7 linked regions of the Kluyveromyces lactis genome follow. The protein of the gene in region 7 interacts with the protein of the main gene of each other region in a pairwise test. Links are inferred from orthologs where the notes say so. Each region holds a gene or a part of one and is shown on either strand. Other genes may lie near its edges. The genes, in order: AIM3, DSS1, VPS1, GTS1, VRP1, ACF2 and RVS167.

Region 1 (4,224 bases), on a different chromosome or scaffold from region 7:
TGACGGTTGAATCTGGTGGATGTCACGGATTTCAGTACAATTTGAAGCTGGTACCGGAATCTGACAAGAAAATCGGTAACCAGGAACAAGAAACCGATGACCTGAATGACGAAGATGATTTTGAGACTGTTAAGGATATCGTTTATGTATTACCTGATTCCATCGGCGAAGTTGTTATTGATGAGCAGTCCCTAAAGATTTTGAACGATACCACTCTCACATATAGTACCGAATTAATCGGTTCCACTTTCAAGATTACTGGAGGAAGTATGACCAGTAGTTGTGGATGCGGTAGCAGTTTCGGTTTAGACCAGGAAACATGATGTTCTTGCTTTTTTCAACATCCTATTTATTATAATGCAGTGCATGACCCCACTCCCCCCATATTGATGGGCTAATGACTTATATTCAAATGACATTTTACATATATGGTAATGTGTATAGTTAAACTATGAGGTTCTTACATCCTAACAAATATTCTAATAGAACACCATTGGCATTTGATGAGTCTGGTTGCTCGATATATGTCGATCGCAGTGTCACTCTCTGCTGGACAATATGTACTGTTTTTATTGGGAACTCTTTCGAGATCCCTAACCTATCGCTTAATAATTTAGGTAAAAGATGCAAACCAGCGGGGAAATCGCTGACGTTCACTTGGATTTGAAATTGATTCAATAACTTGGTGTCCCTAGTCATATAATCGATTTTCACAACGTCCATATTGGATGTAATTTCTGTTAAAAACTGGTATACAGTCTCATTGTCAAGCTGTAAGGGCACCAGGTACACCTGGTGTTTGCTTAATGTCTTTGTAATCCGATTATCCTGTTGACTATTAGTACAACATACTGTATCACTCAAAAATACACGTAATTCGTCCTCAGAATTATCTATAAGCCAAATTCCTTCTTCACCATCTATATCAGCCACATCAACATTGCAGAACTCACGCAGATCTTCAATGAGCACATCGATCCGAATATCATCTGGTGAATGATAAAAATACCATCGCTCCAAGCCATTCATCTTTCGAGAAAGGAAATTATATCAATGACCAGCAATATTACAAGAGATTGACCTCTGCTTAGATACACGCTTCTCGGTCCTGGGAAACGACAACTTACCCCTGCATTCTTTTCATCTTAGGGTAGTAGTAACCTTTAAACCTTCATGTAGATCGGCTCTATGCCTTTAACAGCTTAAATAGTGAAAATCAAAGGTTTTGAGAAAAAGATTCAAACTGAACAGAATTTGACTCCTAAACCGAAAGGGAAATAAAGGAGAAGCAAGAGTTTGGACCGGTATAAATCAGTAGTTCGTTAGTTATACATTGTATAGCGCGATTGCAGAACATCATTATAATACGGAACACTCTTTCGTCAGCGGTGGCAGTTTTCTCAAGTCTTTGAAGCGCCTTATTCATGAGTAATTTTTGGGATAATAACAAGGGCAGTATTATGTCTGGTCTGGCAAGCGCCGGAAAATATGGTTATCAGGGCACGAAATATGTAGCAAAGGCAGGGTATAAGGCCAGTAAGACGCATTATAACAATTCCCAAGGCAAGAAGAATGTTGAGGAGAGTTCCGATGAAGGCTATATGAGCGAATCGGCTTCAGATTTGTCTCATTTACAAGATCCTAAGATGTTTCCACCGCCTCCTTTAAAACCGGGACAGAAACAGATATCCAGTGATGGGACTGTCATTGATGCTGGTAACGCTCCTCTGGTGCATACTGCTGCTGTGCCGATGGCCAATGCTGCTTCACACCCAGGGTTGCCTCCAAGAACACCGACAGCGAACAGTATTCCTATGCTTACTCAGCAACAAACGTATCCTCCGCAGAATATGTATCAACAACAACCGCCACCACAACCGCCAATGCAACAGCAAGTACCACCACAAGTACAGCAAATCCCACAGCCAGGGCAGCAGTTATCGCAGCAGCCAATGCAGCAGCTTCATCCTGAACCAATTCCTCCAAGAAATTATCAGACTGCCGTAGAAACGCCCCCACAATATACCCCTATTCCATCGCTTAATGCACAACACGTACAAGAACAACTACAACAGCAGTTACAGCAACAGTTCCAACCATCAATGGGTACCCCTGATCAAGGCCAGGCATTAGTCCAAGGCTCTCCCTTGGCGTCGCAACAGCAGGTTCAGCCGCAGGTTCAGCCGCAGACCTCACAATATCAGTCTCAGCAGGTACCCTCGCCTCAGATTCAAAATCAAGGGCAACTAATGCAACAGCAACAAAACTACTTTCAACCTCAACTGCAGCAGACTCAGCCACAGCAGTATATCGATTCCTATGCTCAGTACCAGCAACAAGGGCAGCAGCAAGTTCAACCGCAGATACAGCAAATGCAACCTCAGGTTCAACAGCAACCCATCCAACAACCTCCGCAAGCACAACCGCAGTATCAACAGTCATATCCGCCACAGTACCAACAACAAACCCAATCTTTGCAGCCACAATATCAACAACCAGTTCAGGCTCCTATTGTACAGCCTCCCATTCCTCAACAGGATTATTATCAGCAACAGCAGCAAACTCCTTACCAACCTGCATCTCAACCTCAAATGTATCAACAACAGCCAGGGCAACAAAACCCCATTGTATCTCCAGCTCCTGCACTTGCGCAAAGACCAAGTCTCTCCAATATCCAAACATCTACTGGCCATGGTGCATCTCAAGAATCTACAGTTTCATCAACAGCTTCAATTACCGTTAAACCATACGTTTGGATGGATTCTGATGAACGGAAGGAGAAGAAGAAAATTGAGCTGCAACCTGTGAGTGCAATTGATATTCATCAAGTGACACCTCCTCTCCACAAGGATAGGTCATCTTCTTCAAGTTTGAAGAGTTCATCAAGGGACGCATCCGTATTGGAGAAGGGGAAATCACTTTCACCAGGTCCTGCACCTTTGCCTTCAAGGAATGTCAGACCACCTACATCTGTTGATCATACCAAACCAAACACTGTGACCCCAGCTGCAGCAACTGGAACATCAGCTGAAGTTGGTGATGACCAAGTTAGACCCAATGAAAGTATCACGGGAGTTTATCATGAATCTACTGTATCTTTCCCACCTCCGCCAAAGCCAACGCATAACGGATTGCCAATGTCACCACCTGTATCGCATGCTCGTCCTACAGTATCACATAAGCCACCAAATCCTCCACGTCCTCCTGTGTCTTCGAAACCGACATTACCTCCGATTCAAACTCACCAGCGCATTACCTCCACAGAACGTGCTCCCATAGGTAGACCCAAAGAGGAAGTACATCAAGCTGCGGTGTTAGGTGCTTATAACTATAATGTTGACGTTGGTTTCGCTCCTCCCCCCAAACCACCGAGATCAATGGTAACTTCGCCAGCTAACGATCCTCAAACTTCACTTTCGTCGCGCAGACCTTCCCAAGAGTATGGTGGAGTTGCTAAAGCTTCATCAAGAACGTTGCCGCCGCCGCCGGGACAACAAAATGGCTCGTTGCCCCAGCATACAGAGGAAGAACCAGCCTCCAATAGTTCAGAAAGTGCACCACCTGCCATGAGAATGTTACCCCTAGCAGATTTACCTCCTCCTCCACAGAGGACTGATTCTCATACCACCACATCCGAGCAACCGGCAGTTCCAAGTAGAACTTTTGATCCACCTCCAAGATATTCCACTAATGAAACTATTCCTCCAACTTATAATATTGATGAAGACATTCAAACGGCACATAAGAAACCGCCTCCAAAAGTGCCAAAAAAGAAGGTATCATTAAGGGCAGGAAATAAACCACCTGTCCCCAAGAAAAAGGCTAGTTTGTCCGGTACAGCCACTCATGAACATAACGAGTCAGCCCGCACATCGTTAACGCAAGAAACTAATAACAGTATTGATGATGACGATGATGACGATTCTGGAGAAGGTAATTCTTTCAGGAAGTATTTGAGGCATGTAGTTCCTGCAGAAAGGGATCATATTCATAAGTCCAAATAACTTTAAACACATTAGTGGCATTTACTCGCATCGCAAAAAAAAATAAAGAGTTTTATAAACAGTCATACACCGAGACAGCATACTTACCACTGAAGTCCCGTTAAGGGCTCAAAAACGCGGCTGCAAATTATATAATTATTTATAGATAGGGACTAAAGAACACGCATTATCATTATTCTTTTTAGTGTTTTACATTTCATCTTATTATCATTTAAGCTAT
Region 2 (3,945 bases), on a different chromosome or scaffold from region 7:
AAGCTTTGTCCAAGATAACACAATGTGCATACCCGTTATCGGTCAAGGAAGTGATCTGTAACTTCCAGTTATTTTTCGTCGGATCTTCAATTTCCTTCTTCAAAAATCTTAGAGTCCAATATCTTTGGGCATCAACACTGGCGTTTTTCAAGGTAACATCCCTTGTCAATATATGCCACACCATGCCATCTAATTGTGATTGTTTATAAAGAAGCGGAAGTCCTTTTAAAGTTCTATGCAATTGTAGATGGTTTACCAAATCTGGGAAACGTCTCAACGGAGAAGTAATAGTCAAATAGTGAGAGGTACCAAGCATATCGTGAGGCGTTGGAAGACTAGAATAAAAACTACTAGTCAAAAAGGACTTCATTTTAGCAATGTCAGCTTTTGAAATGATTTTGTTTTCTTGGGTCTTGGCTTTGACCCATTCAGGAACAGATGTTGCATCCTCAACCACATTCAAGGGTCTGTAACCCCGATAGATACCTGGAATTTGGTTTTCCTCGAAATAGGACGCAGTCAAAGAATTAGCAAGAATCATAAGTTCTGAGACAAGAATTGTTGATTTTGTTTCTATTTGATCTTTGAATGAAACTTCCACCAACTCAGAGTTGTCATCAGGGGATAAAGAAACTATCCCTGTTGAAGAATTTTCGAAAACAACGGCACCACCATCGACTATCCGCTGCCTTCTCAATGCTTTAGCAATATAGAATAAAGTTTTTAGGTCTTCGTGTTTGCCAGACTTAGGCTTTGTGGTTGGTTCATCAAGCAGTTCATCCACTGCTTCATAAGTTATTCGAGTGGACTTGTGGAGTACTGACAACTCCACTTTCAAAGAATCTTTCAAAAGACACAATCCTTTACTCTTAGAAAATGTGCAATCGACTGAGAATGTAACCGCTTTAGTAGGCTTACCAAACTGACCCAAATCAGAGGACCTAGCATAAGTTGTTGGAAGCATTGGGAAAACTTTATCTGGAAGATATGTTGTAAAGGCACGTTGATAAGCAATATCAAGTACGGGAGAGTTGATCGTAGTACCATCTTCATTTGCTTCAGGAAAAAGGGAGGCTGGATCTGCGACATGGATGTAAATACGATACTTCGCACCTCCTAATGATTTGATCGACACTGCATCATCGATCTCATGGGCATCTGGGCTGTCAATACAGTAGCAGATTAGATCTTTGTACTCAGTACGGATTTCAGCCGAATGCTCAATCTTCGGTGGAACAGCTAAATCATAAATCTTTTGCTCTAATTTTACTCTTTCATTATTGACCGGCAATTGTAATTCATGATTGATAAGGAGAGGATTAGGAGGTTCGGATGGATTTATGCGTTTCAAAAGGTCGAAACAAACATCTCGGCTGATGTTGAGTTCTTTGTACTCATCAAGTTTTCTGAATAATGAGGAAATTAAGCTTGTTATAGTATCATTGTGTTCAAGATTTCCAGCTGCATAGTCTCGTAACAAGGGAACGATGTATGGGAACGATTTATTCAAAGACGCAAGGTCATTTTCGTTAATGAGGGCCGCAATTCTATTAATACGAACACCCCCATGCTGTCTGAGTTTGTGTATGATGTTATGATAGTGTAGGTGTTGCTTCGTCAAGGGTAGTACAGTTACGGCGCTTGGGAAGAATATACCTCTATGAACGGTCATTTCACCCCACATCTGTGTGCCCTGTTGATGTAAAAGAGCCCAATAAACAGCCAATAAACGAGAACACTCCACCTTATTGGGTACTTTAGAACTTAATTCAAAATGAGAGTTAGCCAAAGAGTATAGGGCATCGCTTGAGAGGCCTGATTTCATGAACGCTGTTGCAATGGATTTTTCAATGTTGTTGGATAGCTCTAAATTCGAGCAGATTTCCACTAACTTCAAAATGGGTATCTGCCATGGACTTGATCCTGATTGTAAGTATCGATGAATCAATTCTAACTTCTTTTTAATGATGGGCAACTGTTGGACAGCGGCATCTGCAATACGAAACGTAACATTAGAGATCAACATTCTCCGCGGTAGAGTTGGAATGACAAAAGTAACATCTTTATCATTTTTTACAGAGCCAACTGGACTGTAACCATGCAGCTTTTCTCGCTGCAAAATTTCTAACTCGGTTGTATTAAAAATTGTAGGGAATCGTAGATGGACACTAGTTTTCCATGCATATACCACGTTACCATCAGTATTAGCGAAAGTAAATCTGGCATCCATGGCTTCAGACGGCGTTTTAACACACACTAGTAATTCAAACGGGGAGTTTTTCAATACGCAAATATCACCTGGCATTAACGTCGATGATACAATAGCTGAAGGATCGAAATAAAATTCAATTTCCTGTGTATCATAACCATTATAGGTATTGTTCCTTAGCTTATAGTTATCCTTAGAGAGCCATTTCAAAGTTTCTTCGAATAAAGTCGAGGATGAAATATCATTACGCAGCAAGTGCATGAATTCATCTTTATCCGTATTTTCTCCATGTGATTTCCCAACTTTTCTATACCAATCGATTGATGGTTGAACAAACCGGTCATTGAATCTCATCAAAGTTTCCGCCTTGGTTCGCCTGAACGGTTTAATTTCCACTTCTGGTAAGATATCTTTATCCTGCGAGAAGAATATCACTTCTTCATCTTCTTGTAGAGACTCTGTAGTGACATTAGTCCCTGATGTATCACTTTGTCTTGCTTGAAATAAAGGTACACCACTATGCATATATCTGCGATGAGCCAAGAACCTAGCAGCAACACGAGGCCGCCTGATTGAGAAAACCGACGACATATGAGTTTTTCAAGTGAGGAACAACTAGTAGATAGTGTTGGAACCAAAGGAGAAAACCTAGAAAGTATGATCGGCAAAGTGTTACTGAGTGATGAGCTAGACTTTCCAATGTGCCAAGTGTAAAATGCCTTCTATATTTTCATTTTCATTTTTATTCAATGGGGCTCTATGCGATTTCTCTTAAGTTTTTCTCGAGTTTATTACCCTGCCAAGTGAAGGACCCGATATGACACACCCGGGTAACGTTACATAGAATAGCACGTGATTTGTGATATTCGGCTCTTCGGTTTTCGATTCCAGATGTGGGAAGGGTGGGCTGGCTCCGCACTGAAATTTCCTCCAACATCGGCACCTCACGGTGAATGTAATCCTATGAAATCCAGTCCTACTTATCTAAAACATTAATGTAGACATTAGACTGTGACACTTTAACTGTTGAAGATAGCGGTCTCAAGCTATAGAGTGTACACTAACTTGGCGAATTCTGTTGGCTTTTTTTCTATGCTCAGGTAGCAGGAATAACGCGAAAGAAAAACGACTTGAAAAATACCGGTGCGGGGTACCCTGCTACTTTCTTGGTGAAGATGAAGCCAATGGAGGGGAAAAACCTTCAACTAGCTTACACCACTCAGTGATCGACCCCACTAATTTCTTTTCTACCGTGATTGTCCGTTAGTTACCTTTTGTCGAAGAGAATTCGGTAAACTACTGGCATTTGACGTTTGGCAGTAATATTTAGAACAAAATAAAGCGCTCCTTCGGACATTAGACCAAAAGACAGCAAGTAGGAGCGATATGTAGGCAAAGAAAAAAAAGGATAAATTCCTCGCCGTTAACAACTAATCTAAATACCACTGTGACATATATCGGAGATTGCAATTCCAAACACTTCAAGTTTCGGATACTGAACAAGCAAGGTCCGAGACAATATAAAAACTCCGACAGGAAAAGCGTGAGAGCAAGACAGAGTGAAAGTGCTACTAACTCTGTCACCAACTCTACCACTGCCCATCACACTCACAGATTTTAACTAATTATTGAATAGTCGTATCCAAAGCATATGCTTGATATATTGATGATAATATAGGAGTTTGCAACCACGGAAAAACCCCTACGAGTAAACTTACCCCACCACACCCACACAC
Region 3 (3,866 bases), on a different chromosome or scaffold from region 7:
GTGTCCTTGAAAACCTGTGCGTCTTGTACTGAAGTCGACAACCTGAATGAGTTTTGACTTGCTACGTCTTCCTAGATCAGAAAGAACCGTCAAAAGTACTCCTCACAAGTTAATTCGTGATGAGGATAATCAAATAAGTGTCGGATGTGTATAATCTCCGAGAGTTAATACACCAAAGTTCCAATGCAAAGGCTTTTTTCAGTATTTGTGAGTCTGACACTAACTTCTTTTGTTGTTGTTGTTGTTGGTAACAGGTGACCAATATCAAAAGATGTGCTCGTCACTAATTTGAACTAAAAACGTAACTAGCACAAACTATCCAGTTATATTCAGATAGAGAGAGACTGTGTGTATATGTGTGTAGACAAAAAAATCAGCCAGTTAATATTGTATTGTCTGAGAATTCCGTTTCCCTTTATTTCTTTCCTTTACCAATTCTGTCTCAGGAGTGTCCAGCGAATGAAAGAATTAAGAAGTTCAATTTGAAGGTACTGGCAAGTTTGGACCAAAGGGATATGTAGTGTTGGTTTTAACTTTAGCTTCTCCTGTTCACACACTCAAACCAAATAAAAGGTATAGTAAGTTCAAAAGTTCACACTTTGTTATATTATTTCATTTTGTACTAAATTTTTAAAGCCAGAAAAATTCAAAATCGATTTCAAGACCCAGGAAAAATCAATAATTACGTGAAAGACCCCAATCATAAGAATGAGCGAGCTTGAATTTGCAAATTGTATGTTCAATTTCCTGTAAATCTTATCCAACAATAATTCAATTGGAAGTATATGCATATATATAAACGAAAATCCAGATATGGAAGAATCAAGATATTTGATGATTACAAAACCTTTGTATTTCGTGTGTAGATCTGTAACGGCATCCGAAAAAAACAAGAAAACTATCCCATTGACAGTGAAAGTCGGCCTTTATATGGGCCCTTGTAGTTCGTTTGGAAACTCTTCTCCCCGTTAATTTGAATAAGAGGCTACTGGCTAAATAGGCTCACTGACTGTGCTATCTATTGGATACGATCTGGATCCAGTTAGATTGGCAGATCTAACCATTTCCGGGTAATACTTGGTTTTTTCTAACTTTTGGTGGCGAAAAAGGGGAAAAACAAGAAAAACATCAAATCAAAATCAATTCTAGTCAACTCGAGAGAGATATTCCAAATATCTAGAGAGATTTATTTTTATATATACCTTTACTACATCCAAAGTTAATCGGTTAGGTCAGAGATATATTTTGAATTCTCAATTTGTAATTGTAATTGAGATCAAGCCCAATACTGTGAGTAAATAAACTGGCAACATGGATGAACGTTTGATTGCTACGATCAATAAGTTACAGGATGCTTTGGCTCCATTAGGCGGCGGTTCTCAGACTCCGATTGATTTACCACAAATTACCGTTGTTGGTTCTCAAAGTTCTGGTAAATCTTCTGTGTTGGAAAACATTGTCGGTAGAGATTTCTTGCCTCGTGGTACCGGTATTGTTACCAGAAGACCATTGATCTTACAATTGATCAACCGTAGGGTCAAGAAGGAGACTAAGCATGCTACAGAAGAGCTGTTAGATTTGGATAACAGTGCAGCCAATGGTGGTCAAAATGAAGACAATGCAGAAGAATGGGGTGAGTTTGGTCATTTGCCCGGTAAAAAGCTTTTCAACTTTAACGAAATTAGAAAAGAGATCGTTTTGGAGACCGATAAGAGTACCGGGAAGAATGCAGGGATTTCTGCGGTTCCAATCACTTTAAGAGTATATTCGCCACATGTGCTAACTTTAACCTTGGTCGATTTGCCCGGTTTGACCAAGGTCCCTGTTGGTGATCAACCAGCTGATATCGAAAGACAAATCAAGGATATGATCTTGACTTACATCAAGAAACCTAACGCTATTATCTTGGCAGTGAACCCAGCTAATGCTGATTTGGCTAACAGTGATGGTTTGAAATTGGCCAGGGAAGTCGATCCCGATGGATCAAGAACCATCGGTGTGTTAACTAAAGTCGATTTGATGGATGAAGGTACAGATGTCATCGATATTTTGGCCGGAAGAGTTATCCCATTGAAATTTGGTTATATCCCAGTAATCAATAGAGGTCAAAAAGATATCGAAAAGAATAAAACAATTAGATCTGCGTTAGAGGACGAAAAACGTTTCTTTGAGAACCATCCATCGTACAGTGCAAGAGCACTGTACTGTGGTACCCCATATTTAACTAAGAAGTTAAATTCTATTCTATTGCATCACATCAGACAAACGTTGCCAGATATTAAACATAAGATTGAGGTCACTTTGAAGAAATATCAAACTGAATTGTTAAGTTTGGGTCCAGAATCCCTATCATCTTCCAGTTCCATCGTGCTAAGCATGATCACAGACTTCTCAAAGGAATACACAGGTATATTGGATGGTGAAGCAAGGGAGCTTACAAGTAAAGAACTATCAGGTGGTGCTAGAGTCTCGTTTGTGTTCCATGAAATCTTCAAGAATGGTGTTTACGCCTTGGATCCATTCGATCAAATTAAGGACTCCGATATCAGAACTATTATGTACAATTGTTCTGGTTCAGCGCCTTCTTTGTTTGTGGGTACCGAAGCATTTGAAGTCTTGGTGAAGAAGCAAATTAGTAGGTTCGAACAACCTTCTTTACGTTTGGTCAACTTAGTTTTCGATGAATTGGTCCGTATACTAAAGCAGATTATCAACCAACCAAAATACAGCAGATACCCAAGCCTAAGAGATGCTATCTCGAATAACTTCGTTCAATTCCTGAAAGAGGCGGTCATTCCAACTAATGACTTTGTCGTCGACATCATAAAATCTGAACAAACTTATATCAATACAGCTCATCCAGACCTATTAAAGGGCTCTCAAGCAATGGCTATGGTTGAAGAAAGACTACATCCACGCCAAGTGGATCCAAAGACCGGTAAACCGATTGCTGCTCAACCTGTAAAAGCCGAAGAAACTAGACCATCTGGTTTCTTTGGTGGTTTCTTCTCATCGAAGAGTAAGACTAGAGCTTCTGTTTTGGAAAATCCACCAAATGTTTTAGAAGCCACTGGTCAAATGACTGAAAGGGAAAAACTTGAAACGGAAGTTATTAAATTACTTATCGACAGCTATTTCAGCATCGTCAAGAGATCCGTGGCAGACTTCATTCCAAAGGCTGTTATGCTAAAATTAATCGTTAAGAGTAAAAATGACATTCAAAAGATTCTACTTGAGAAATTATACAGCAGCGAAAATCTTGACGAGCTAACGAAGGAAAGTGATTTGACTACCCAAAGAAGGAAAGAATGTCAAAAGATGGTCAATATTCTAACTCATGCTAGTGAGATTGTTTCATCCGTTTGAATATTAAGTGCTTGTATTTATAAATTGAAACTGTTTTTCCCTCCATTTCATTTCCTCTTTTTTTTTTCTCTGGCTGCTCTGCCTATAGATTAGTGAAATAAATAGTGATATATATCATTGATAAAGAATATCAGAATTATTAATTTTTTTTTTGTCATCGTTATCTTGCTTCCGAATTAAATGTATGTTTCGTTCTATTAACTTAGCTATTATTCTGTATTGGCATGTAACATTTTCAAATCCTATTTTCCTAAAGCTAGTAATTTTTTGGTGACAAATATTGGCCATGCTAACGCTCAATGTATATTGTCTTGATTCACAGTGATTCACAGTTATTTGAATGAAAATTACGAAGACTCATCAAATCTTTAAACATTTTCAACCAGGAAATAGATGATAAGCCTCTTAACTAATAGATTGCAGGATGCTGTTATGATCTCTAATATTGAATTTTATCGACAGTGAACTATTCCAATTTATGATAAATGTTCTCACTTTTT
Region 4 (3,070 bases), on a different chromosome or scaffold from region 7:
TCGTATATGTATATATAGTATCCAATGTATCAACCCTGCTTACCTCTCGTTACTAAAGGTGACCCAACTTTTCAAGTATTGTTTCAAATTGATTGAATTCATTAGGAAGCTCCAACTCAACTTTCAAATCAGACATTTGAACACAATACGTAGATGAGATATGCCCAGTGATGCAATCAATGTTATCTGCAAGACCTACAGCAAAACTTGCCTTTTCAAACAAATTATGTTTCTCCTGTTTGATGCGCTGTGGAGTCCAGTTATTTTTGGATAATTCTTCATATTTGGAGTTCAATTCACGAATTGTCTTTTGAACCTCTTTCAATTTACTTAGCTGTGCACTTCTTTTCCAGCCGCGTCTATTCTTCAACGTATCACTCCTCTGGCCTTGAATTTCCTTCTGATACAATTCCTGACACCGAGCAATTTCACTTTTCTCATGCTCTATTCTTTTCTCTATGTTACTGGCGTCGCTATTCAACTTATTTTGCATCTGATTTTTGAAAGACCAATACACGTTAATGTTCCCACACTTTTCCACACTGATCAATCCATCTTCATCAATCATCTTTTGTACTAATACCTTCACTAACATGGAAGATATGCCACATTTCTTGGGGATATATTTCTCTAATTCCTTCATGTTGTATACGGTATGTTCTTCTTGGAAAAACCTTAGGATACGTGCTTTTTTCTCGGCAAGCGAAACGGTATTCTTACCTGGGGCCATGTTGAATTATTTGAACCTTTTAATAGACTTAATTGAAGCTGATGTCTTTGATGTGATGATGGTTCTTCTTCTGTTTGTTTTTAACCGCTGAACCTTGATAAAAATATATAAAAGAAGACGAAATGTCATTTTCCATGGGGAAATTTATAAACAGTAACATATTTTGGTGAAAGAAGTATCAGAATCGAGAGTAATTGAATCAATTCAGAGATGCCATATTAATAGCCATGGTTGCTTATAATTGGGGAGGCGGTTAGCTGCTATATACGAAACATTAAAATAGATCCTATTCTCCGGCTAAATGACAGACCACGTGAGAATAAACTCTCCTGAGGCAATATGATAGTACATAGCTTAAGCCTGTCTATCACGTCATTATTCAAAAGGTATCCAAGATGGTATATCGTACTGACTGCTTCCAATAGACTTACGTTTGTTGAACAAAAATAGCTCTTGAAATATTCTATGCGGTTGAAATTCCGAACAGGAACAGAAGTTCTATGAATGAACGAAGCATAAAATGGTGAAAGTGAAGAACGGATATTGAAAATAAAAAAAAATACTTCATATTATAAGATTATAAAGACCCAACGCTAGAATTACGTTTATATCAAATAGGGGTCCCAAATTGGACTAGTCGAGTTTAGGTAAGGTTTATTGAGGAGATACTGAAGCGAGGAAACCAAAAATGAGACGATCAAGAGGTGAATCTGTAGAACATGATTTAAAGTTTTTGCTTAACGCTGGTGAGAATTCAAATAAATGTGGTGAATGTGGGACACCATTCCCTACCTACTGTTCAGTGAACTTGGGTGTATTCTTGTGCGGTCGGTGTGCTTCCGTACATAGGAAAGTGTTAGGCAGCAGAGAAGATGGTGCTACTAGTATCGTGAAATCTTTATCTCTTGATAGATGGTCTAAGCGTGACGTTCAAACTGTTGCCGATCTTGGAGGAAACAAACATAACAGCAGTTTTTGGAACCCTAAGAAAGAACCTTTCCCATTTGACGGTGACGAGGATCGTACTGCCGTTGAAATGTTTATCAGGGATAAATATTTAAAGGGTAAGTTCAGACATACCGCTGTCAAGGTGGAAGATTTCAATCTAGAGGATGATTCGTCACAATTGGACTACAAGTCATCCCGCCCATCATCTGCGTCCGGGTCCAGAAGAAACCGTTCTGCCTCATCTGCCAGCAGTAGACCAAGATCAAGAGAAGGAGACAGACCTCCGCTTCCAAAAAGGCCGGACAACAAAGTGCAAGAAGCCGTTTTCGATGGAACAAGTGAACCAAGCCTACCTAGTACAGCATCGGCAGAACCTCGCCCAGCAGTATTCGATGGGGTACAACAATACTATGATCCAACTACCGGCCAAATTTATGTAGATCAAAACTCCTATGCGGCAATGCAGCAGGCCCAGGTACAAGCATTGGCACAACAAGTTCAACCTCAGTTTACACAACAGGTTCAACCTCAGTTTACACAACAAGTGCAACCCCAATTCACACAGCAATTACAACCTCAGTTCACCCAACAGGTACAGCCTCAATTCACTGCTCAACCATCGATAGATAAGAACACACTATTATCACTGTATCAAAGACCAGATTTATATTCTAGTGCCGTAGAAATCAAACCGGATAATCCACAATACCAACAGATCCTGAATCTCCAAAAACAACAGCAGGACCAACAACAGCAGCAACAGCAACTGCTACAACAACAGCAGCTACAACAGCAGCAACAGCAACAGCTCCTGCAGCAACAACAGTTACAACAAATGCAATACCAACAACCACAACAGTACCAACAACAATTCTACCCCCCATTCCAATAGATCATCATCCCTTGGCCTTCTTTGCAGCTGCAGCTGCAACTGCACATCTGCTACCGCACTACGGTTTAATCTCTCATACCTATGTTTGCCTATATAATACGTAAATATGGCTAAAACCAAAACACCGCTACAACTAATATCTAACTTTGTCTTCCTCCTCTGACGTTTCACAACGTCTGCTATACACTCTTATCCGGAACATCCACGATCTACTTACTACCTAGCTATCACCACTATTATCTTACTGACCATCAAAAAAAAAACCTCCCATTGACTCATAACCAATCATATCTTATTTGCACTTAACGAGCGTTTTCTTAAAACCGTTCCACCAAGCACCAGTGTCTTTCCACTGCCTTTACTGTGTACGTTTTCTGCGATATATCTGTCTTTCCTTCTTTGTTTCTTTATTTCTATATAAAGTTCAAAATGACTTATTACAAACTAAGTTTTGATCCTTAAAAACCATTTATAAGAAATAAGAACGCCCCCCCTTGTAA
Region 5 (3,646 bases), on a different chromosome or scaffold from region 7:
CCTGGCTCCGGTGAATTAGCAGCTGGGGCCGCGACAGATATTTCAAATACTTCAGCTGACCAGCCACTGTTGATTCCTGGATCTAAGACATACTCTAAGTCTGGGCCTGCTGATGTCGAAGAGCTAGGCCGTTCTTCTTGGACTTTGTTACATACGATAGCTGCCAAGTATCCGAATAAGCCATCGGACACACAGAAACAAGAAATGAAACAATTTATGACCATATTCTCTCATGTTTATCCATGCGGGTGGTGTGCTAAGGACTTTGAACTATTTATAAAAGAGAACGCACCCAAGGTTGATTCAAAAGACGACTTAGGTAGATGGATTTGTGCGGCACATAATGAAGTTAATGAGAAATTGGGAAAGGAGAAATTCAACTGCGATTTGTGGAAGAAAAGGTGGGTAGATGGGTGGGATTAAGTGTTATACTTCTTCCTCTTCCACTCGTCTAGGAATGCTTTCATTAATATCTTATATAGTTCTTACTCATTATAAAGTCATGTAAATACAGTAAAATCTAATGGAACACTTGAACCTCTGCCACTTGGATATAGTTTTCTTAAGCCCAAGAATTGTCTCGGTTTGGGGAGATCGTTTCTGTTAGACCAATCGAATTTTGAATCATCAATGGTTATTCCACTGTTATTCAGCTTTATTCCGGTCGTATCTTGACTTCCTTCTATTGTGAAATCTCCGACATCTATTTCAGCAGCATTTGTGTAAGGGTTAGTAGATTGAGATGGTCGACTGGCTTCATTACCAGATGAAAAAAGTCTGTGTTTGAAGAAACCTTTTGATGAGGAACTATTTGTGCGTTCCACTTGAGGTTGCTGATTTTGTTGAAGAGATTCCTCTGAGGCTGCGGGTGGAGGTGGTGGAGCTTTGGCAGAGGGAAATGAAGCGGCTTGTGGAGGAGGGGAAGGAGGAGCCGTTGGCGCACCCACTGGTGTATGACTATTCTCACTTTCGATAATGTGAGAATCATCCCTTCTGCTTTGTATTGATGCCAGAAATGGTAATCCTCCGGCTGGAATAGATGGTGCTTCAGAACTTGGGGTAGATTGAGGCAGCGTAGGTGCATTAAAGGAAGGAGTAGGTGGGGCCGGAGGGGCAGGAGGGGCAGGAGGTGCAGGAGGTGCAGGAGCCGGTGGGGCCGGAGGAGCAGCAATTGAAGGTGGAGCAGCAGGAGCTGGAGTTGGTGGAACCGAAGGAGCACTGAACGAAGGAGGAGCCGGAGGAGCAGATGATGAGGGAAGCGGTACCTTTGGAGCGGAAGATGCTGTATTATTCGACGCACCATGTCCTGTTCCTTCAACTACGAATCTGTCATCTCTCTTTCGTTGAATCTCCGCCAGGAATGGAAGTCCTCCAGCTGGGGACGGTGCAGATGGTGGTGGTTGCGGCGTGGACGTTGGGAATGATATGCTTGGAGGTGCAGGTGGGGCTGCAGGAGGGGTACTGATTATGGGAGGTGCTGGAGGTGCTGGAGCTGGAGGTGCAGATGTAGGAGGTGCAGGCGTAGGAGGTGCTGGTGGGGCCGCAGGAGGGGTGCTAATTGTGGGAGGTGCTAGAGGTACTGGAGGTGCCGGAGCTGGTGGCACGGCTATAGGAGGAGCTGGAGGTGCAGGTGGTAACGTTACAGGCGGAGCAGGTTGTGCTTGAACCGGAGGTGCTTCTGTGCGTTGTCTTGCTGGAGGATGTTTCGGAACCGGTGGTGTGTTCATCATGGGTACTGGTGGCGGACTTGTTGGAATTGCCGGTGCTGCCATTGGAGGAGGAGCAGGAGGAGCCGCCACTGACGAATCACCCTCACTTCTCAAAGTCTTTTTACGCTGTGGTCTATTAGAAGGAATTTTTGGGATTGAAGAGCTATCCGGAAGCGGAGGAGCTCCAGATGGAATAGCTGGTGATTTAGAGGAACCCGAAACATGTTTTAATTTAGGGATCCCACCAGCAAGTATATCTCCCAATTGAGGGACACCGGGAAGCTGAGTTGGAGTCGGGATCGATGGTGCTACAGGCGGGACTGCTGAGCTCGATACTGATACAGAGTGGCTCATCGAACTTGATCCTCCAATCGCAGGTGCACTCTTATCCACAGTGTGTGCTTTCTTAAGTTTTGCACCTTTCCTAATATCACTCAATAAGGCATCACGTCCTGGAACAGCCGCTGGGGGTGGGACAGGAGTTGCAGCGGAGCCAGCATTGGATGAATTTCCGCCAAACATAGGCGGAGGAGGTGCTGGTGGTGGAGGTGGACCAGCCATATTATTCTAATTTCTATGTTCAGCAAGTTATCTATAACAAAGTATGCTCAAATCCTTAAGTCTTATAGAACTTTTAGCGGAAACACACTGGTCAATTGGTATCGCTATGATTCTTTTCGAATAACTACCTTAAACGCAGTGGACCCCTATGCACTGCAACAGTTTGTTTCTCTCTGATTTGACGTTTCTTTCATTTTTAAATAGCTAATTGATATCTGGAAGCCTCAAGGATACCCGGACACTACACTTTCCACCCAGACACTACACTTTCAGTTCGGTGCTAAATCAATAATCAAGAAGAATACGGCAATGCAAGACGATTCTATGATACTACTACAGTACGAAGTTCACTGGACCTCTTCATGATTTCGCGGTAGCATCGGCATGTAGTAACTAAATGAGGAACATCGTTTTAGTGGAGTGCCATTCCCAGTTACCAGCCCTATACGAATAATTTACCAATATAATATATTCGGGTAACATTTTGGTATTGGACCTTGTCTTAAAAAAGTTTTCAAAGGCGATCAAGCATCTTAACAACTTACTATGTGAAGAAGGTACTGAAATCTATATATCATGTACACTATCTATAGCTAGTACCACCACCATCGGGGATTGGATTAAAAATTGAGCTAATATATTCCACAGCAAGATGTAATACGTTGTCAATTCTTTGTTTTGTTAGTGACAGGTGTCCTAACGCGAAGTAATGCATTTTCTGTCGTCGTTCTTTTAACTTAGCTAATGGAATCCGTCCTCATAGTATATAGATTTTAAGTGGCATCTTCGAAGATCCGTGCGCAGTTTTTCTTTCAGTGGTGCATGGATTCAAAGCGATGCCCAAATTGAAGATAAATTCACAGCTTCTTGCTGTGTGTTTCCCTCGTTTCTGTGGATTTTCCTCTGTTGAATGCTAAAAAACATCATCACGAATTTTCACGAATGGTTTTGGATGCATAAATAGCGTCCTTTACCCAGGAAACTGGGGCACATCTCTAAATCGTATGGTATTTTGTGATTCGAACCTTGGTTACCCAAAAAGCCTTATAATTTAGTCTCGGAAATGAACTTCTTGCACATGGTTTCGTATTCCAGACTTGTGAGGGAATGTCTTCTCAATCTTTCATAAAAATATCTATTCCGCGATAGTTTAATGGTTAGAATTCGCGCTTGTCGCGTGCGAGATCGGGGTTCAATTCCCCGTCGCGGAGAAGCTTTTTTATTTTTTCGTCACTGCATTCACATTCGACTCAAGCTCTATTAACAACACTCGTTAATTTAAGAGTATCTGTCAATATTGTTCGTTAAAGTTATTTACAACTTTCTATGTAATGCTGATTCAAGCATTTCAAGCAATGCTGGCCCCCACTCGGGTT
Region 6 (4,293 bases), on a different chromosome or scaffold from region 7:
CAATTAGGGTTGATCGCATGCTGTAAGAATCCAAACACAAATCTCATTGACCCCTGTCGTGCTCCAACTGAGGATGAGCAATCTCAGATGAGATATTATAATAACAAGATGCATTCCGCTGCTTTTGTCTTACCTACATGGGCTAGAAAGGTACTAAATCCATTGTGAAATTCTGTAAACTGAACACTAGAAAAATATACATTATGTAAATATTCGAATACTCGAAGGAACTACAATCAACCGAATAGATCATCAATAGCTGACTTCTTCTTCTTTTGCTTTTTCTTTTTACCGTATTTATTGTCCTTTTTCCCGCTGGCAGCTAGCACTTTTGAGTTGTCATCTGTACTTTTAAAAATCGCCATTGTTTCCAGATCTTCGCCAATTTCTTCCCCTATCTCTTCGTCAGCTATAGATTCCAAAGCTTCCCGTACCTCGTTGTCGGACATCCCAGGGTTGACAGAACTGGTATTGTTCTTTATGCATCCAATCCTACGGAAATCTTCTTCCAACGTATCATAAATGTGCATGTATACCGTATAAATACGTGCCAAATTTCCTATCAGTACTACTCCCAACGTCACAAACTGTCCCAAAGATATTACACCATTGAAATCATAGTACATCTTCTTTATCTGTAACTTCAAAATCGAATACAACAACGAATGAAGCTTCAATAACTGTTTATCATGGCAAACGCCTCGAAAAACCAAGCCTTCAATTATACGTACAGCCTGTGCCACGTTCCTTTTCAAAATATTTAGCTGTTTCCACCATACAGTCGCCCCGTGCTGGTTCTTATTCCTATGATATATGAGGTATACTATTCTTAATTCTTGGCGAAGCTGCACCACTAGTTTCTTATTTATTTCAGAAATACCACCCATGATATTGAGTAATTTATCGTCAATACTCTAACAAACCAGCATTTCGTACAAAAATGAGAGCCAGGACACGCATCTCTGTTTCATCTGTGCTTCACTTCTACCTCATCTCATCTCATGTTCTTAATACACCGATTCGTTTTTTTTTCAAGATCATCATCATCTTTCGAACAAATGTTCCAAGAAAAAGCCTACAATTGCATCCTGCACCGCCCTTTATTGAAAAGAAACCAATAATCATTGCACGCGAGATGACCTGTCACTCCGTAAACGGTTAATTGGATAATTTGAACTCTGTTAAATTGATTGATTATTGTGTCACTTGAATCACTGGAAAGCAAAAAAGCCTGAGTTTTTCCATTGATATTTGTGTCAGGAACGTCGAGCCTCGAGTCGTGCATTGAGTATAAATTAGAGTAAATTTATGCTCGAATGAACCCAATTGAAACAAGAGAACTTAATAGTTTACATCCTGTTCATTGCAAGAGCGGTTTTTGATGGTTTATCCAATATAAAGTAACTCGAAATCTGTCTGCTTCTTAAACAAAGAATACAGTCTTCGAGCCCCAACTTCACATAATTATACCTTCTTTTTAAACATTCCAAAGTATGTCGTATCAGAGACCTGGGGTGAATATACCAAATGGTTTTCAGAGAGATCCGATCCCCCCTCCGTATGCTGAAACAGATCCATTATCTTCCAATTCACAAATACCCTTACAGCCCCCTCCACAGGTACCACCACGAATTCCTCCTAGACGAACTCAGGATTCAGCTTTTGGAGATTATGTCTGGAATAGAAACACCCCTCCGTTGCCTGCAAGGCCAAATACGCAGGGAATTGAAACGGTGGTCCCTAATAACACATCTCGGTCAACTACTAACACAATGGATGAAGTAACTAATCAACTAATGTCTGCTAATATCTCGGCAACAAACGTTTTCTCTTCGCCAATCTCCACTGATCCACCTTTGGCTGTTTTCTCAAAGGTAAATCATGAGGTGCCACTCCCTTCAGGGACTAACAATTCCGGTAAACCAACTGAAACCAACAAGTTTTATGGGAACATCATGCTTGGTGGTGGGACAAATCCAATCTGGACCCATCCATACTCAGTTTGGTATTCTACTGATTCATACTATGGTTTAGCTCTAAATCAGGTTACCGCAGCCCAAAGAGTCTTTGATACCACTAAGACTCCACCTCAATTTTTCTTTGGTCCTACGGGTATCAAATCGCTAGTCTATTCGTCAACTGATTTCAATTCTGCTGGAGACATGTCGTTGGCATTTTACAACATCAAACACTTATCAGTGGATGTTCAGTTGAAAAAATCTGACACTGAATTTATTGTCTTTCCTCTAGTTCAAGGTATGGGATTTGTTACTGCTATTTACTATAATTTAATCCCAAGATTGTCTTCTGCTGTTGGTTTCAAAAGTATCACTGGTGATACTTCACCAAGATCTGGCATTAACAAGTACAAGATATTGCTCGAGAACAATGTCACTTGGACATTGTATGTTACCATTCCATCTGGTCAATCATTATCTTTAGCCTTATCGAATGGGAATACTATCGTTGGTAACAACTCTGTTAACGGATGCGTTTTTCAAGTCGTTGCGGATTCCAACCAAAACATTGATAATGCCGCAGGCTGTTATGCTAATTCATGTACTTTGGAAGGTTCTGTTGATGGGACAAGTGGTAGCTACCAATTAAAATACGGTACACAAGGTAGTTCTAATAGTGGTTATCCTTTAGTTTACGCTTTGCCTCATCATTATCAAAACTTCGATTCCTCTAAGGGAACTAAAACTGTTATTTCTAAATTAGACACTACAACGAAGGGTCAAGCTCAAGGTTATCTCACTAATGAATTGGCAATGAAAGTAACCGTACCCTCAGCTTTGAAGTTCGATCCATTTACTACTATTGCTAATAAATCTGGTCCTAATTACTCTACGAATGTCTTAAACGCTATCAACGCTGCTGCCGCAAACGACGTCACTGGTGATGTCGTGGCAGAAAGTAACCTCGACTCAATGTACTTTTCCGGTAAAGCTTTGGCTAAATATGCGTGGATTTTGTACGTATGCCAATATATCTTGAAGAATTCGAGTTTAGTTTCCACAATTTTACCCAAATTAAAATCTGCCTTGGGACGCTTCATTTCTAACACACAGACTTTGCCCTTGAGATATGATCAAACGTGGTATGGTATCATCTCCTCTGGTGATAGTTCCCAGGATTTTGGTAATTCATACTACAATGATCACCACTTCCATTACTCTTATCATGTAATTGCTGCCGCTATTGTTGCTAAAGTCGATAAAGATATTGGTTCTGGCTCCTGGTACAATGATAACAAGAGTTGGGTTGAGAACTTAATCAGAGACTACGCAAATCCATCTGAAACTGATAAATATTTCCCTGTTTTTAGATCCTTTGACTGGTTCAATGGTCATTCTTGGGCAAAAGGTCTATTTGAAAGCGGTGACGGTAAAGATCAAGAATCTTCATCGGAAGACGTAAACGCAGCTTATGCATTGAAACTATGGGGTCTAGTCAGTGGCAACAGCAACTTGGAAAATATTGGTAACTTGATGCTAGGTGTATTGAAAACTTCCTTGAACAACTACTTCTTATACCTTGACAACAACACCACTCAGCCAACGCAATTTATTCCAAATAAAGTTAGTGGTATCTTATTTGAAAATAAGATAGATCATACTACATACTTTGGTACCAATTTGGAATACATCCAAATGATCCATGCAATTCCAATAACTTCGGCTTCGTCTTTCACCAGATCACCTGAATTTGTGAAACAGGAATGGGATCAACTATTAGCTCCAATTGTCAATAATGTCACGGATGGCTGGAGAGGTATATTAATGCTAAATGTTGCATTATATGATCCAGCTACATCATTCAACTTCTTTAACAGTAGTGCTTTCCAAAACGCATACCTAGACGGCGGACAGAGCAAGACCTGGTCATTGACATATTCTGGCGCTTTCATTTGAGTTCACATGGACATACTATTTCAAACACGAAGGAGGAAAGTCATATGGGGGTTTTTCTCTCCAATGTTAACTACTTCACTCATTTATGTAATTTGCAAGTTCTCTCCATTTACGTAGATCTGTTTTTAGTTAATTGTTAGGTAATATATTGAAAGTTTCCCTGGTTACCGTCCTCCTACCAGTTTCCACTGTCTTTAACCAATCCTTTCTCAAAATAAGCCTACTGCAACACATAGGACTACCAGGTGAATGCAATGACTAACCAAAGGTGGAATTTGCAAGCTTTGACGCTTTTCTGGTTTACAAGTTACTCCGAATCACTTTGCCTTAAAACAGATTTAGAGGTTTTACCAAAAAAGTTCCAGATACGACGAAACCT
Region 7 (3,012 bases):
GTGTGCACTGCAGTGGGAGCAGTTGTGATGGTGGGAGCTAATTGTTGCATTGAAATACATAGCTGGTTTTAAGTATATATAGAGACGTATCTCTTTCTGTTCCTGCAGTAAGGCTTAGTGTACTTTCTCATGGAATTCTTTTCCATCTTACCTGCTGTGTGCTTGGAAACCAGTGTGATTTTAGTGGCTGGCTCTGCTACTGGTGATGTGTAGAAATATAGGGGCATGTAGACAGGGGTTCTGACGAACCCCTTTCGTCTCCATGAAGCAATGTCTGACTATTGCCAGGTGACCAAATATCGTCAATTCCGTCGATAGTGATGTGCATTCTGTATCCTTTAAAAGCTATGGGGCATTCTTGAATTAAACAAGGTTAGAGTATATAGTAACTACAGGCTAGGAGAGCTTTTCTTTTGCTTTATTATTTTTTTCAAGTTCAGTCTATACACAGCAGAAAGGGAATGGAAAGTGACCAAGAGATTAGTTTTCTTTTGTTTTCATTATTGTTTCGATAGTTCGACGTAGTTCCCAGGGAATACACCTTGGACGCCATTGTAGACACCGACCCACCATCCTGCTGCATCGGAACGATCCACGACTTGGATTATGGCACCAGCAGGGAACGTCAAATCACCTTCGGCTTGGGCCGTGTAATCGTATAAAGCGGTACATGTCTCCACTCCTGCACTAGTGGGAGGAGTGTATGATGCCTGGGTCGCAGTGGTGGGCACCGAATTGTATCCTGCGATACCAGCGGCACCTGCAACACCTCCGATTGGATACTGTTGTTGCTGTTGCGGCTGTTGTAGTTTTGAGTCATAGCCCATCTGTTGTGGCTGTTCAGGCTGACCGTATGTTTGGCCGTATGCGGGTGGGCTCATTGGACTTCCAGGACTTGAGTCGTCAGTAGCACCATATCTTCTTCTGGTTAAATCTAGTTTGGCCTTCGAGTATCCCAGCTTGAAATGAGTAATGGTTAGTGCATCTGTTTGCTCTTCAATGTTGCCTCTTTTAGCTTGGAATGCCTCCAAGATGTCAGTATCCAGGTCAAAGTATGGGATCTTCATGTCTTGGAACCTGTTGTATAAGGTGTAGAAGATATTCAATTGCATGTAGTAGAATGAAACAAATAATGGTTTCACGAACTCTGATTCCAATTGGAAAAGTATAGGTAATTCAGTTTTCAACATATCGTTGTAGTAGTCGTATTCTTGTTGCATTACGGCGACTTGAGCCTCGGCTTTATATTTTTTCTCCTCATCCTTTGGCGTTGGATTCTGTTTTTGTTCATATTTGTTGTACGTGTTCAAGCTCCTATCCAAATCTAGCTTTTTATGGTTTCTCTTGGTGGACATCTTTCTAATGTAATTAATAATGTTCAAAAGCTCTTGTGCTGGTTTAACAATTTTCTCGTCAATCAGAGTTAGATCAGGCTTTAAAGTAGCTTGCAACTCAGAAACAATTGCACTGTACTGCTCACTCGCTTCAATACCTTCTGGATTGTCTTCTGGCACAGCGGCATTGGGATCGGACATCTTACCACTAATTGGCTTGAAAATTTCCGACATTGCCTTAGAAAATCCAATTTGATGCTCTAGCATACCGTTCACGGCATTGAAATATCTCTTTGACTCATCGCTCAACTTCTTCGTTTCCGATTCCAATTCCTTGAAACGACGATCAGCATCCTCATAAACAGGATCAACAGTCTGCTGACCCATGTTCAGTTTTTGCCTAAAAGACTGGGGTGCTCTGGCGACAGCTTTTGTAAAACCTTTGAACGACATGACTCTCTAGGGGGAAAATATATTGATTGTTATTTGCTTTCTTATTCGCTGTATACGCTCTAAACTTCAAAACTTAACGCTTTTTATCTGTTTAAATTCACGTTCTTCGTGTTTTTTATTTGAGTGCTCTCTCTCTTTGCCCTTATAATAAATTAACTTTCTTTCCCTCGACAAAGACGCTTGTTTGTCCTTCGAAAGATTAATTTAAGTTCAGATTTGCTCTAACAGACAACTCGTTGACACGCTGATTAGATATATATACCGCTTCAGTTGCCTTTCAAGTTTGCCCCTTTTACATGCCCTTCCAAAGTGATGAAATTGAAATTGTCCAAAGTTTGAATTTTTTTGAAATTGTATTGTGCATCGGCAAAAGCGTACAGAAAGGAAAAAGGCTTGGCTTAGTTCATCGGAAATTGGCCCAATGCATTTGAGCAGTAGGCTTGTGAAAAGTTAAGGGGATGGTCTATACTGTTATTAACGCCCATTGGTTCTCCTATTGGTTGTAATTTGAGTGCGTATCACTCAAATATGCTGCAAGCTTGACCTTGTTTTTTTTTAGGCCTGCTGACTCTAGGCTAATAGTCAATGTACCCTTCGGTTGAGAATAGTTGTGGAGCAAGGTACATAAAGTGCAGCAAGATTCTTGGTAGGATATAAGTTAGGTATATTTTTACATAACGGTTGTTTCGTTATGGATATTACAAGTAGTTTCGAGAAGTTACTGTCATTGGAGATGTTGTTTGTCCTCTTTTCATTTTAATGTCTTAATATAGTAAATGACACTTTAAATTACCGAATGGGATTTAAACCATTTTCTGACTCCAAGGCTCGAACAAAGATTTACAAACTTTAAACACTTGCTGTAATATCCCACCGATCTGTTCATAGAGCGGCGTTCTTACAATCCGTTGGACAGCAAAATCCAGCATATATTCTCTTAACCTGGTACCGTATTATGGTGGACGATATTGTACGATCTTCCTCACCGCAGCGAGATAGCAGTGTCGAAGATGTGTATTCGGATTTGTACTCCACTTTCTCTCAGATGACCACCACCACTGCAAATGATATTGAACAACGACCATACCCATTCACATGGAGGACGGGTATTATGTTTGTTAGTTCGACAATTGGTGGGATGCTTTTCGGTTACGATACTGGTGTAATTTCTGGGGTTTTAATAGCAATGAATCCAAAGGATTTAAACTTTCATAGTTTGGAAATT

Evidence for each region.
Region 1: the proteins of RVS167 (region 7) and AIM3 interact in binary tests that used the Saccharomyces cerevisiae proteins (3 or more experiments, as listed by UniProt). The link is inferred for Kluyveromyces lactis from reciprocal best matches to the Saccharomyces cerevisiae genes RVS167 and AIM3.
Region 2: the proteins of RVS167 (region 7) and DSS1 interact in a two-hybrid assay, tested with the Saccharomyces cerevisiae proteins (2 studies listed by BioGRID). The link is inferred for Kluyveromyces lactis from reciprocal best matches to the Saccharomyces cerevisiae genes RVS167 and DSS1.
Region 3: the proteins of RVS167 (region 7) and VPS1 interact in a two-hybrid assay, tested with the Saccharomyces cerevisiae proteins (2 studies listed by BioGRID, with this or other methods). The link is inferred for Kluyveromyces lactis from reciprocal best matches to the Saccharomyces cerevisiae genes RVS167 and VPS1.
Region 4: the proteins of RVS167 (region 7) and GTS1 interact in binary tests that used the Saccharomyces cerevisiae proteins (3 or more experiments, as listed by UniProt). The link is inferred for Kluyveromyces lactis from reciprocal best matches to the Saccharomyces cerevisiae genes RVS167 and GTS1.
Region 5: the proteins of RVS167 (region 7) and VRP1 interact in binary tests that used the Saccharomyces cerevisiae proteins (3 or more experiments, as listed by UniProt). The link is inferred for Kluyveromyces lactis from reciprocal best matches to the Saccharomyces cerevisiae genes RVS167 and VRP1.
Region 6: the proteins of RVS167 (region 7) and ACF2 interact in binary tests that used the Saccharomyces cerevisiae proteins (3 or more experiments, as listed by UniProt). The link is inferred for Kluyveromyces lactis from reciprocal best matches to the Saccharomyces cerevisiae genes RVS167 and ACF2.

The regions. Positions count from the first base shown.
Region 1 is NC_006038.1:826,647-830,870, reverse strand, and holds AIM3 (Aim3p), read left to right. Parts: upstream 1-1,424; coding exon 1,425-4,004; downstream 4,005-4,224. Other genes in the region: ISA2 (Isa2p), read left to right, coding at 1-323; KLLA0_B09482g (uncharacterized protein), read right to left, coding at 445-1,029.
Region 2 is NC_006039.1:556,620-560,564, forward strand, and holds the start of DSS1 (exoribonuclease II), read right to left. Parts: upstream 2,801-3,945; coding exon 1-2,800. UniProt on the Saccharomyces cerevisiae protein: Essential for mitochondrial biogenesis. Required for intron-independent turnover and processing of mitochondrial RNA. Participates in 3' mtRNA processing where it hydrolyzes single-stranded RNA or partially double-stranded RNA with 3' single-stranded tails.
Region 3 is NC_006038.1:1,164,432-1,168,297, forward strand, and holds VPS1 (dynamin-like GTPase VPS1), read left to right. Parts: upstream 1-1,311; coding exon 1,312-3,366; downstream 3,367-3,866.
Region 4 is NC_006039.1:1,495,827-1,498,896, forward strand, and holds GTS1 (Gts1p), read left to right. Parts: upstream 1-1,418; coding exon 1,419-2,570; downstream 2,571-3,070. Other genes in the region: MND1 (Mnd1p), read right to left, coding at 53-730. UniProt on the Saccharomyces cerevisiae protein: Appears to modulate the timing of budding to obtain an appropriate cell size independent of the DNA replication cycle. Transcription factor involved in both heat resistance and flocculation.
Region 5 is NC_006038.1:537,163-540,808, reverse strand, and holds VRP1 (Vrp1p), read right to left. Parts: upstream 2,271-3,646; coding exon 501-2,270; downstream 1-500. Other genes in the region: ERV1 (flavin-linked sulfhydryl oxidase), read left to right, coding at 1-423; KLLA0_B05995g (heme-dependent oxidative N-demethylase family protein), read right to left, coding at 3,585-3,646. UniProt on the Saccharomyces cerevisiae protein: Involved in cytoskeletal organization and cellular growth. May exert its effects on the cytoskeleton directly, or indirectly via proline-binding proteins (e.g. profilin) or proteins possessing SH3 domains.
Region 6 is NC_006040.1:1,445,417-1,449,709, reverse strand, and holds ACF2 (endo-1,3(4)-beta-glucanase), read left to right. Parts: upstream 1-1,493; coding exon 1,494-3,914; downstream 3,915-4,293. Other genes in the region: SPE4 (spermine synthase), read left to right, coding at 1-168; RMP1 (Rmp1p), read right to left, coding at 237-887. UniProt on the Saccharomyces cerevisiae protein: Cleaves internal linkages in 1,3-beta-glucan.
Region 7 is NC_006041.1:280,318-283,329, reverse strand, and holds RVS167 (amphiphysin), read right to left. Parts: upstream 1,788-3,012; coding exon 501-1,787; downstream 1-500. Other genes in the region: CIN10 (Cin10p), read left to right, coding at 2,743-3,012. UniProt on the Saccharomyces cerevisiae protein: Component of a cytoskeletal structure that is required for the formation of endocytic vesicles at the plasma membrane level.